3 linked regions of the Cricetulus griseus genome follow. The protein of the gene in region 3 binds, or shares a complex with, the protein of the main gene of each other region. Links are inferred from orthologs where the notes say so. Each region holds a gene or a part of one and is shown on either strand. Other genes may lie near its edges. The genes, in order: Nr5a1, Nr5a2 and Nr0b2.

Region 1 (3,670 bases), on a different chromosome or scaffold from region 3:
TCAGTAGGCATCTCTTGCTTCCAGACCAACTTGGTGGATTGACTTCCTATGATCACCTTTAACTGCAGTGAAGCTAGCCAGGCTAGAGAGTCGGGTTGCTATGTACAGTTGGGTTGGTTTCACTGTACAGGGGCACTGAAGCAGGGAAGGACTGGGCTTGGATTTAGGTATATCTCTCCAGAGGGAGCTTTTTTCTAAAGTACATAAAGATGTCTCATGAACTGGTGGCTATCCCAGGGAGTAGAGGAAGAAAATGACTCTGGCTCATTTATTGGAGGGTGATGGGAGCCAGGGTGGAGGCCAGCAGCTGCCAAATCCTGCCATACGACTCAGGCCCAGCTCGGGTTTCCCTAAATCCATCTTTGAACAACACAGGCCCCAGGGGGTGTGCTGGGGGTGGCAAGGATCAGGGTTGCCAGGCACCTCAGCTTTCCTGGTGCAGTGGGTGTTAAGAGGGATTAGAGGGCCAAGAGCGCATGCTGGCCCAACTCCCCACAGTGGAAAGACTGGGGTGCATCAAGGGAGCAAAGCAGATGAGTGACCCATCTTCTGACCCCCTGGAAGCCACAGCTCAGGGAGGCCAGGATAGGCTCTGGGGCTGATGTTAAACTTCTAGGTAGGGCATGAGCTAAAAAAGGCTGGGAGCTGGGAGCTGACCAACAAGGAAAGGTTCCAAACACCCCATTTCCAGCACCCTTCTCTGAGGAAGGTTACCTTTATGCCGAATAGAGAGGCACTCTTCCACAGGGCTGCTGCTCCTAACCAGCTCCAAAGACCTCTTTTGTGTCTAGCCCAGGACTAAGGCCCAAGGATGCTCTGCTCACACTTCAGCTCCTGCCACCTGCTCCTTTCTCTGTAACAGCGAGCTGGTCCTCCATGTCTAACTACAGCTTCATGGTCACCATTGTTCTCACACAGCATGTCTGTGTGGTGACAGCTAGCCTGCCTGCCTTCCTTCCTCCCACTCCCTTCATGTTTTGATAGCATAGAGGAGAGAACCAGGGCCTGTGTGTGACAGGCTACTTTAAGCCACACTTCAGCACCATTTTAAATTTATGTGAATGGCTTTACTTTAAAAACTTCCAGCTCTTCTGTTGCCTCTCACTTCCCACTGCACCCCACTTTTCAACATGGCTCTATGTGCTCTAGGTCTGTTCATTCTACAACTCCCCAGATGTAACTGGCACACAGCCACCTAGGCCCCTCTTCCTCACCATGAGCAGTGCTGCAAAGAAGCTGATTCCAGAACCCCAGGACTGAATTTATGGAGTCTCTTTCCAGGGCATATCCAGAGTACTCATGGGATTGACACCCCAAGACAGGTCCTTTTGACAGTGATGTTCATGCCTGGGGGCTAGGGGGTTAGCCACAGCTAGACTTTGATGTGTTTTCCCATGAGTCAGTACCTTACATTTCTGGAGGGACCAGTGCATCTCATTTTATAGATGAGAAAATGGAGAGGTGTAAACACCACACCTGGCCATGCACCTGCTGCTGTTGATGATGATCTTGGTGATTGTCAAGTATCCATAGTGACAGCAGCAGTGATGACTGAGCTAGTGATATGATTTACTGGTTGGTGATGGTGGTGACCATACTGGTGATAAAACAGGGATTTTTAGGTGTTTTAAATGCCTTTAATCCACTGGGGAGACAGGGAAAAGTAGGTGGGTCTCTGTGAGTTCAAGACCAGCCTGGTCTACAAAGTGAGTTCCAGGCCAACGAAGGAGATCTATGTGACCCTGTCTCAAAAATAAAGAGAAGAAAAAAAAAATCAAAGGAAGCACAAGCTTAGGAAACTAACCAAAATGATGTCAGTGATGTGCTGGTCCCAGGGTGGAGATAGGGAGGTTGCCATTGAGAGGCTCATGGCAGTCTCTGTACCCATAGGTTTGGTATCCCCTGGGAATGTGGTGTTGGTAATACTGCTGACAGTGTCAGCCCAACTTTGGTGGTGGCACAGTGACTGGAGGGTGATGGACTGCTCCCGTTGCAGATGTGAAATTCCTGAACAACCACAGCCTGGTGAAGGATGCCCAGGAGAAAGCCAACGCTGCCCTGCTGGATTACACCTTGTGTCACTACCCGCATTGCGGGGACAAATTCCAGCAGTTGCTATTGTGCCTGGTGGAAGTAAGGGCACTGAGCATGCAGGCCAAGGAGTACCTGTACCACAAGCATTTGGGCAATGAGATGCCCCGCAACAACCTTCTCATTGAGATGCTGCAGGCCAAGCAGACTTGAGCCTGGGCACCTGGAAACAGGCAGTAGGTGGGGATGCCACTGCCTCCAAATGACTCATTGCATTAGGTGATCCAGGAGTCCTGTCCTTAGGCCCCTGCCCCCGAGTTCTGGAGCTGTGTGCTTGGGATGGTGGGTCAAAGATGGACAGGGACTACCTGGGGCAGGTTGCCTTCACCAGCCACTGGCACAAACCTGCCACTTGGAGTGCCCCAAGGAAGTGGCTTCTAGCCACTCCTTCCTCCATCTGCCCCCAGATTCTTTCCTGGCATCTGAGGTACAAGTCCCGGGAGGAGGTTTGGGATTCCCTGGATGTTCCTTGGGTCAGAGGTCATCCTTTCCCTCTCTCCTGTAATCAGAGGCAGGGGAAGGTCTACAGCATAAATGAGGGCAGAGGAGGGTCTCTAGACTCCCCTGAAGAAGGGAAGGAAGTCCAATGTTGTAAACTGAGTTTGCTAAATTGGGTAGGGTCTTCCCTGGAGGGTACCAAGAGACTGGGTCAGGTACAAAGACCCCTCTCCAGCTCTCCACCTGTCTAATTCTGATTCATTACCTGAAAAAAGACTTTGTTGTAATCATCTTCCTATCCACCCAGGGAGGAGGAGTCTGGTGTTGTCAACATTTGTACCTTGGCTGGGCTGGTACTTATTTGTAAGTTTGTAGTCACCAGGATTCTTTGGTGTTTGCTTTTCCTTTCCCCTAGACAGTCCTTGGAAGGAAAGAGAGAGAGAGAGAGAGAGAGAGAGAGAGAGAGAGAGAGAGAGAGAGAGAGAGACAGCAGGAGATAGATTGAGGACTGAGCTGGGATGTGGGGATTAGCACTGAAGTTTTTTCTCCTGATATCTCATTCCAAGAGTCAGGGTGGCATCGGGTCATCTTTATGTACCCCACCTTACTCCAGAGAAGAGCTGTTGCTTGCCCTCTGCCTGCTCCACTAGAGTCCCTGCAGGTGGGGATATGGGAAACCTAGGAGGACTCAGGAGTCTTTAGATGGAGGCAGTGCTGAGGAGTCTCTCCTCTCATGGCTTCATCCTTTTGGGTCTCCTGCCACAACTCTAGAAGCTGGCCTCAGTTGCCTGACCTCTGCTTTGTATCCTGGAAGTCTCTTTTCAGGGCCAGACACTGAGGGTGGGGTGGGGTGGGGGGAAGACCTAAGCCATCCTCTGTTCCAGACTGGGCATCCATTGTCCTTCCTGCGATCATATCAGATTTACAGCTTATGCTAGGCCTGCCCGGCTGGACAAGGCTGCCTCCTGCCTTCCACCACCCTGCCTCAGACCCCACCTCTGCCCCTGAAATGTGTGCCCCTGCCAAGGCCAAGACCAACTGCTCCGAAACAAGAAGTGCCCTTACAAGCCCCTGCACCCCTGCAGCCCTGAAATAAATTTTGCAATTAGTTTCCAGTAGCATTTGTGAATTTGCATTCTGA
Region 2 (3,670 bases), on a different chromosome or scaffold from region 3:
CGAATGTGCTGTCATCAAGTCCAGGTGAAAGGGGTTTTCCAAGAAGAACCTGTACTTAACTAACCTTTGTAACAAAGTGTCCAAAAATCACAGCTAATGAGGACGATGTTGGGAGAGGAGGTACTTAATTCCGAAATGAGTTGATTCTCTTTTTCTTTAAAACAACAAAACAAAACAAAACAAAAATGACACAGACACATACACAGGTACACAGCAGGAATACAATTTTGGTTTCCATGAGAAATCATGACATAGCTTGCATACTAGAAACTGGCCTACCCAGAAAGGAACCCGCTCCCCCATGAATATTAAATATCTGTTGTGAAACTTTTTCAGTCCACACAGGTTTCCCAAAATATGTTTTTGATAACAAAGCCCACTTGAAGGAAAGAATTCATTAGGAAGGCATTTCTTCTTGGAATATCTCTGTAGGTTATCACAATGAAAATACACACAACATACACACATGCACTGAAATCACTTCCTGTGAATTACCAATAATTTGAAATGTCTAGAGATCTTGCAGAATGCTAACTTCCCTCTTATATACCCTTCCTTTCTCCTCTGTCAATAGCCGTAAGAGCTGACCGCATGCGAGGAGGCAGAAATAAGTTTGGGCCAATGTACAAGAGAGACAGGGCCCTCAAGCAACAGAAGAAAGCTCTCATTCGAGCCAATGGACTTAAGCTGGAAGCCATGTCTCAAGTGATCCAAGGGATGCCCTCAGACCTGACCATCTCCTCTGCAATTCAGAACATTCATTCTGTCTCCAAAGGCCTACCTCTAAACCATGCTGCCTTGCCTCCCACAGACTATGACAGAAGTCCCTTTGTCACATCTCCCATTAGCATGACAATGCCACCTCATGGCAGCCTGCAAGGTTACCAACCATATGGTCACTTTCCTAATCGGGCCATCAAGTCTGAGTATCCAGATCCTTACACCAGCTCACCTGAGTCAATGATGGGCTACCCCTACATGGATGGTTATCAGACGAGCTCCCCAGCCAGCATCCCACATCTGATCCTGGAACTTTTGAAGTGTGAGCCAGATGAGCCTCGAGTTCAAGGGAAAATCTCATCTCAGTTACAGGAGGACCAGGGCCTCCGAGGCAAGCATGGAAAGCTGAACACGTTTGGGCTTATGTGCAAAATGGCGGACCTGACCCTCTTCTCCATTGTTGAATGGGCCAGGAGTAGTATCTTCTTCAGAGAACTGAAGGTATGTCATGCCTACTCTCCTCTCAAAGATCTGACTAGGTTCCTCACCATTACTTATGTTCTTGGTGCTTAGAATAGGTTCTCCTTTTGTTTATATGACTTAAACAAGAGGTCTTTGTGACTATTACTGCAAGGTTATTACAGCTTAACTTGATAGGGCTTTGGTTCTGGGTAGCTCCTAATTGGGATATGCTGTTGAACAAGACATTAAGTACTGTTTTGTTCCCATATAGCAGAATGCACTCATCTCTTCTAACTCAGAGATGGTTTGTTTCCCCCAAAATGCAACATCAAACAGCTACTAAACTAATTTTTTCAAGTGACTACGTCACAAACTATGTTATAATGATATTATCTGGAAGGTTTCTTTTCAAAGGGGAAAAAATGCCAATGTTTAATTGTTTCAGATCTTGCAAAGTGCAGATGATACCACTGCCTAGTGGTGTCAAGTAGGCATTTACTATTTGTTTGCCCTGACATTAGGGCAGTAAAACCATTGTTTTCAGAACAGATTCCAGTAGGATGCTGACTTTATTGCATGGGGAGTGAGCCAATGGCCAGTGCTTGTCTGTTGGGTTCCTTGCAAATGTCTGCGGTTTAAGTAAATGGGTTGGTGCGTTGTAAACACACCACTTGTTTGCATAAGGATCTGTGTTTAACTACATGATTATTTTATTTCCTGAAACTTAAAACTGAATTAATACAGGCAAGTTATTTAGGAGTTTGGCATCTGAGCAGTGACCAAACCACATTTTGTAACTAATCATTCCATTCCCAATTTAAGCAAATCCCTAACTTTGATTTCTAAGGCCATTTCATTATAAAATCAGCCTCATGCTTTTGCTGTCAGGGTGGGAGAGGTGATAAGTATCTGTGACTTCTGATAACCTATCGATAGGCCGACTTTTAGTGGAAAGGCTTATCATTAAACATGTGCTGTGCAGACAGAGGGGTGGGGAATATAGAAGCTATGTGCTGAGGGAAGATATGTTCTTCACCGAAGTCTTCCAGCGCCAAGATGTTTGTATGTGGAAACAGAATTACCCGAGTAGATCTAAATAGGTTAACCCAATGCCAGCAGCATGCAGTGATGATACATCCTGCCTACCTTTTTTTTCTCCTGTCCTTTATTGCTACACGGAAAGGTGGCTGAAGGTGAAGTGACTAGGCTGCTGAGAGCAAACAGAAAACACTGAGCTAGCATGATAAAACCAGGTGCTTTCCGAGTAGGTAGTATAGAGAACCACTCTAAGAGAGAGCATCCTTTATTTAAAAAGCAAAAACCAAACACTCTAATTTTCTGGGTGCTTTTATATTCATAACCATGTCCCTATGAGGACAGATGAGCTACTTAAAAATGAAAGTGTTTTTGGCTGCAGCTGGAAGGCAAAGTGATGTATATAAACGAGGAAAGCCATTGGGGTTAGTAAAATGGACTTGAGCTGAATGACATCCCCTGGGTGTGTGGCTGTGTGTACTGCAGGCAGGGATCAGTGTTGCCAGAGTCTTAATGTTCTCACCTGTAAAACTGCATGCACTGTGGAAGAGTGCCAGAGAACTAATGATGTTTGTGTTGAGGTGGTTCTGCAAGGAAAGACACGAACGTGTATGTGAAAAGTACTTAGCACTCTGGGTTTGACACTGCAGGCACAGTAAAGGGGTATTTTCTTTAAGTTATTATAGTTGCTTGATGAAAGACTTTATGTAACAACCTTATGTTCAATCTTACATTATTAATGTGGCACTGGGAAATGGTATGAATCAAGTGTTACAAGAGATGGTATGATTGTATTGTGATGAATAGTCAAAGCAACTCCTGAAATAGCCAGGTAGTAAGTTAGCTGTGTAAGGATGAATATAAAGTTGGTTGAGATAAAAGATATTTCTTCCTAAAGTTTCTAATAATTTTGCATATAATTTTGCATATATAATTTCTTAAAAGAAAACCAAACCAAGACAACCTGGTATAGAGGCATATGTTTGTAATCCCAACACTCAGAGGGTTAGGACAGGAGGTTTGCTGTGAGTTCAAGGCCATCTAGTTCACACAGTGAGTTCTAGGCTGGCCCGGGTTACAGAATGAGATCCTGTCTCAAAACAAAAAAGAACAACAAATTTCTTTTAGAAAAGACTACGAAGAAATGTGTTTTAAAAATCAGTGGGGGCTGGGGTGATGGCTCAGTACTGACTGCTCTTCTAGAGGACCCAGGACACCTACAAGACAGCTCACAACTGTCTATAACTCGAGGTCCAGGTGATCCAACACCTTCATACAGACATACATGCATGTAAAAACACCAATGCACATTAAATAAATATAAATAAAATATAATAAAGAAGAACTTAGAAAAAAAAACAGGCAGGGCAGTGGTGGTGCATGCTTTTAATCCCAGCACTGGGATGTAGAGGCAGAAGGATCTCTGTGAGTTTGAGGCCAGCCTGGTCTCCAG
Region 3 (4,341 bases):
CACTAAGGAGCTGGTTTCTGCTTACATTCCAGGAGTTCCATCTGGCAAGAGGAGCATGCACCCTGAAGAACGGCTTGCCCCTTCCATAGGCAACCGTGGTGTCAGCAGGTCATACCTTTTATTACAAAAATCAATAACTTAATTGAGTTCTATACAAAGTCAGGAGGAATTCTGGCCTGAAGTACAGCCTCATTCATGCTCCCATCTCTGTCCCTGGCCCAAAGACTTTGGGGGGCCACCAAGGACCTATTAGGCAGTTAGTATACTGTGTCCAAACCAAGGAAGTCCAAGCTGGGGGCATGGCTGAGGTGAGGGCTGCTCCTGGGGAGTTGAAGCTCCCCTTTGGAAGCCCTGGATTCCACTCTGCAGGTCACCTCAGCCAAAGCATGTCTTCCAGCAGTTCAGCGATGTCAACATCTCCGATGATAGGGCGGAAGAAGAGATCCACCAGAAGGCTGCATGAAATGTTCTTGAGAGTAGAGGCCATGAGGAGGATTCGGGCCAGGCGGCCTTGGCTAGCAGGGTACCAGGGCTCCAGGACTTCACACAAGGCCCAGTGAGCCTCCTGCTGCAGGTGGGAGATGTGGCAAGAGGCATGGAGGCCTGGCACATCTGTGGCAGAGAGGGTGAAGAGGGCTGGTGAGCAGCTGCTCCGTGGAGGCTAGCCCAGGGTGTGAGAATGTTAGTGGCTCCCCCCCTCATATGCCGGGGTGCAATGCAGGGCCTCGTGCATACTAGGGCATGCTTGGCAGGCATTCTACATTTGGGCTGAACATTGCTGGTTCCTTTAACATGCCAGGCGATAGTTGTACCACTGAACTACATTCCCAGCCCTTACAGATACAGAAGAGACCTAATTGTTTGGTGGTGTTAGGCAACAAACCCAGGACCTGTAGCTCGGGAGGTAATACTTTACTAATGAGTTCCACGCATTGGCCCACTCTGCCACCTTGGAGGTTTCAATCACCATCTCCTACATTTTATTCCATTTATGTGGAGATAAGGGCTGAGACATACGAGTTAGAGAGATGGCTCTGTGGTTAAGGGCACTTCCTGCTATGACTGAGGACCTGAGTCCGGTTCCCACCTACATTGTGGCTCACAACTGCCTATAATTCCAATTCCTGACACCCTCTTCCGGCTTCTGTGAGCTCCCACCAGATGATACACATACATACAGGTAGAAACTTACACACATAAAATAATATCTAAATAATTCTTTTCTTATTTTGTTTTTTGAGACAGATTTTCGAGGTGGTGACACACTTTTAATCCCTGTACTTGGGAGGCAGAGGCGGTTAGATCTCTGTGAATTCAAGACCAGCCTGGTCTACAGAGCTACTTCCAGGACAGTCAGAGCTGTTACATAGAGAAACTCTGTTTCAAAAAACAAAACAAAAAGCCAAAACCAAAAAAGAACCAGAGGCCGGTTGTTCGTGGCAGGCCTTTAATCCCAGCACTCGGGAGGCAGAGGCAGGCGGATCTCTGTGAGTTCGAGGCTGGCTGAATTTGAATCCCAGCACTGCCACTGTGAGCTCAGTGATCTTGGACAAGTAGTTTCATCTTTCTGAGTGACCTTAGATGAGTAGTTTAAATCTCTGTGCCTTAGTTTCTTCATCTATCTAGTGGGAACAATGACAATACTTGTTGCCCACTACTGCTGTGAGGTTTAACCAAATCACTATTTGTAAAACCCTTAGGCTAAGTCCTGACATATGGGAAATGCATGTGATTCTTTGGTACTGTTACTGCCGTTTGGCGTTACACTTTAACTTCCAAGGCCTGTCTCTTGTCTTCCTCAAAGTTACAAAGAATATTTTCCCATGCCAGGCATGGTGTTAGTTTGAGGTCAACTTGCTTTACGTAGTGAGTTCTAGGCCAGCCAGGGTTCCGTGGTAAAACCGCCTCATTTCTCCTCATCGCCCCTCACCCCACCCCATCTGCTCTCCACCCAAGAAGTGACCACTCCCCACCCTTCCATTCTTTCTGTGTGGCCGCTCTGAACCCACGGAGGACTTTAACCTTCAGAACTTCACTGTGCAGCCTGCCCTTGAAGAAGGCAGACACTGCACACGGCGGTGTCTGCCTTACCCACTCTACCCTTCCAGCACAGCGGCAAAGACCAATCTCTGCATTAGCTTGACTTGCATTCCCAGGCCTGTTCTGCCTCTGCCTTACTGTGTGGCCTTCAGGTAGTTGCTTAACCTCCCTGTCTCTCCTGGGAGATACCTGTTTGGAGCTAACAAGGACGCAAAGAGACAACGATTCTTTTCCTGGACGGGTCCTGTCCCCTCCCAGCGTGGCCCCCATCCAGGAGTGTCTGGGAGCTCACCTGGGTTGAAGAGGATGGTTCCTTTCAAGTAGGCATACTCCTTGGGACCCAGCTCAAGGCTCCAGAAAGACTCCAGACAACGCTGGAGCCACTGCACGGCAGCCAGTGAGGGCTGTGGCCGGTCGGGTAGCTGGGTACCCTGCGTACCACTGCTGGGTTCCTCCAGAAGGATTTTTTTAAGTATACTGGGCACTGGAGCCTCAGCTATCTCAAAGGTCACAGTATCTTGGGCCAGCCCAAGCAGGAAGAGAGGGCCCCAGCAGACCCCCAGCAGCCGTCGCTGATCCTCATGGGGCAGGTGGCAGAAGGACGGCAGGTTCCTGAGGAACGCTACTGTCTTGGCTAGGACATCCAAGGCCTCCCGGCAGGTGCGCTGTGGAGCACTCAGACGGACAGGCCGGTGCTGCTGGCAGAGGCAGTGGCTGCGAGATGCGGGTGCAATGGGCCTGGCCCTGAGGCTGGGGCTTAGAAGCGCGTACAGAATAGCAGGGCGGCCTGCAGAGCCCTGGCAGGGGCAGCCCCCAGACTGGCTGGAGTTCATGGTTGGTATCTCGCTCCTGTTTCTTCCCAGCTATCGGTCCTCTGTACTGTGAGTGCTATTTATATCCTCGATGGCGGGAGGGGGAATGGCCGTGGAACCTTGACTCCAGAAGTCATGTTCATTGAAAAAAAAAAAAAAGCCAACATACACACACAATGCACACATACACTGACCCTGGCAGGACCGGAGGGGGAGGGGCACTGGAGCTCCACGTGGCGTTGCTATCGCTTTAGTCAATGAAGTGGCCATTGCAGGGCACAGGGCCACCTGCCCACTGCCTGGATGCCCTTTATCGGATGACTCAGTGTATAAACAAGGTCATTAACCCAGGCTGTACCAGGGCACCAAGGTCTCAGGTGCTCAACCAGCCAGTGGCTGTGACTGCTGCTGTTTCGATTGGAGCCCACTTTCATGCACACAAGACCAGGGTTCTCACTGAGCCAAGGAGCCAGCCAGAGAAAGCCAGCTAAGGCCTTGAATGCCTGACCCAGCCTGGAAGTGCCTTATCGCTGCTGTGTTTGCCTAACCTTGGGGCTCTGCTCCTGTTGTCGGTAAGGAACAGGCTGCAGGGAAGGGAGCCAGGTCCCTGGGGGACTTTGCTCATTGTACAGTCTAGGAGGTACCCCCTCCTGTGACTCCAGTGCAGAGGCCCCGTTGGAGGAAGGCCATTCCAGAGCCCCCTGCTCCCATTCTGTGCTCCAATAGCTCCAGAGGGGCTGGGCCTGCTGGCCCTTGCAAAATTGTTACTTACAAGGCTGCCAGTTACTGAGGACCCACTCTATATGGATCACTTTCCCTTGTAATGTTGAGAACTTCCCAGAGAAGTGACCTGCTCAAAGTCACTCCAACCAGAAGGGACAGAGCACAGATATGTCTGACCTCGAAGTCATCCTTGTTTGCCCCTCCCCCCCCCCCAATCAACTGTGCAGCTGAAGTGTGAATTTCCCAGCACAGGTGGCTAGCAGCTACCCCCACTCCCAGCCCCCAGCCCCTGCCTGGTCTGCAGGTGTGGCCCACCTATGGTGCGACTGGAAACATCTCTGCTAACACGCCGCTTCTCTGCCCTGGATATTTGTCTTCAGTGGTTAGAGGCGAGGTATGAGGGAAATGGGAGGTCCTTGGCTGTGTCAGGTTCCTGACCTTTGGCTAGCCTTGCCTAGCAGGTTTGTTGTCGCCACACTCTTGGGCAACCTGGTGCTCCGGATGAGGAGCCCTGGCATCTGGTCTTGGCTCCATGATTCCCAGTCAGCTGCTCTCCAGGGTTCTGTGAGCCTTGGTGGAGACAATCAGGGCTCCTGTGGTATTGGGACTTGACAGAGCAAGGTTCTGTGTAGGCCAAGAAGCTGCCCCCACTCTATCCTTTAGACAGGCAGCCACACTGCTTTCACTGTAGTGCTGTCTACCTCAGCCCAGGCCTCCTTAGGAAAAGAATAAACAATCTGTATGGCAAGGAACGGTAACAGTGAAA

What was found.
Region 1: the proteins of Nr0b2 (region 3) and Nr5a1 are in contact, whole or in part, in a crystal structure (PDB 1YMT), measured with the Mus musculus proteins. The link is inferred for Cricetulus griseus from reciprocal best matches to the Homo sapiens genes NR0B2 and NR5A1. Residues at the interface, in NP_035980.1 of Mus musculus: Thr19, Ile20, Leu21, Tyr22, Leu24, Leu25, Ser26; in NP_001303616.1 of Mus musculus: Ile275, Val278, Arg282, Phe287, Val292, Gln295, Met296, Leu299, Gln300, Asn450, Leu452, Glu455, Met456.
Region 2: the proteins of Nr0b2 (region 3) and Nr5a2 are in contact, whole or in part, in a crystal structure (PDB 1YUC), measured with the Homo sapiens proteins. The link is inferred for Cricetulus griseus from reciprocal best matches to the Homo sapiens genes NR0B2 and NR5A2. Residues at the interface, in NP_068804.1 of Homo sapiens: Arg17, Pro18, Ala19, Ile20, Leu21, Tyr22, Leu24, Leu25, Ser26, Ser27, Ser28; in NP_995582.1 of Homo sapiens: Phe354, Val357, Arg361, Phe366, Val371, Asp372, Gln374, Met375, Leu378, Gln379, Asn529, Asn530, Leu531, Glu534, Met535.

Annotation. Positions count from the first base shown.
Region 1 is NC_048599.1:149,962,718-149,966,387, reverse strand, and holds the end of Nr5a1 (steroidogenic factor 1), read left to right. Parts: intron 1-1,996; coding exon 1,997-2,244; 3' UTR 2,245-3,344; downstream 3,345-3,670. UniProt on the Homo sapiens protein: Transcriptional activator. Essential for sexual differentiation and formation of the primary steroidogenic tissues. Binds to the Ad4 site found in the promoter region of steroidogenic P450 genes such as CYP11A, CYP11B and CYP21B.
Region 2 is NC_048598.1:52,341,119-52,344,788, forward strand, and holds part of Nr5a2 (nuclear receptor subfamily 5 group A member 2), read left to right. Parts: intron 1-574; coding exon 575-1,221; intron 1,222-3,670. UniProt on the Homo sapiens protein: Orphan nuclear receptor that binds DNA as a monomer to the 5'-TCAAGGCCA-3' sequence and controls expression of target genes: regulates key biological processes, such as early embryonic development, cholesterol and bile acid synthesis pathways, as well as liver and pancreas morphogenesis.
Region 3 is NC_048595.1:19,710,388-19,714,728, forward strand, and holds Nr0b2 (nuclear receptor subfamily 0 group B member 2), read right to left. Parts: upstream 2,874-4,341; coding exon 2,333-2,873; intron 613-2,332; coding exon 371-612; 3' UTR 109-370; downstream 1-108. UniProt on the Homo sapiens protein: Transcriptional regulator that acts as a negative regulator of receptor-dependent signaling pathways. Specifically inhibits transactivation of the nuclear receptor with which it interacts.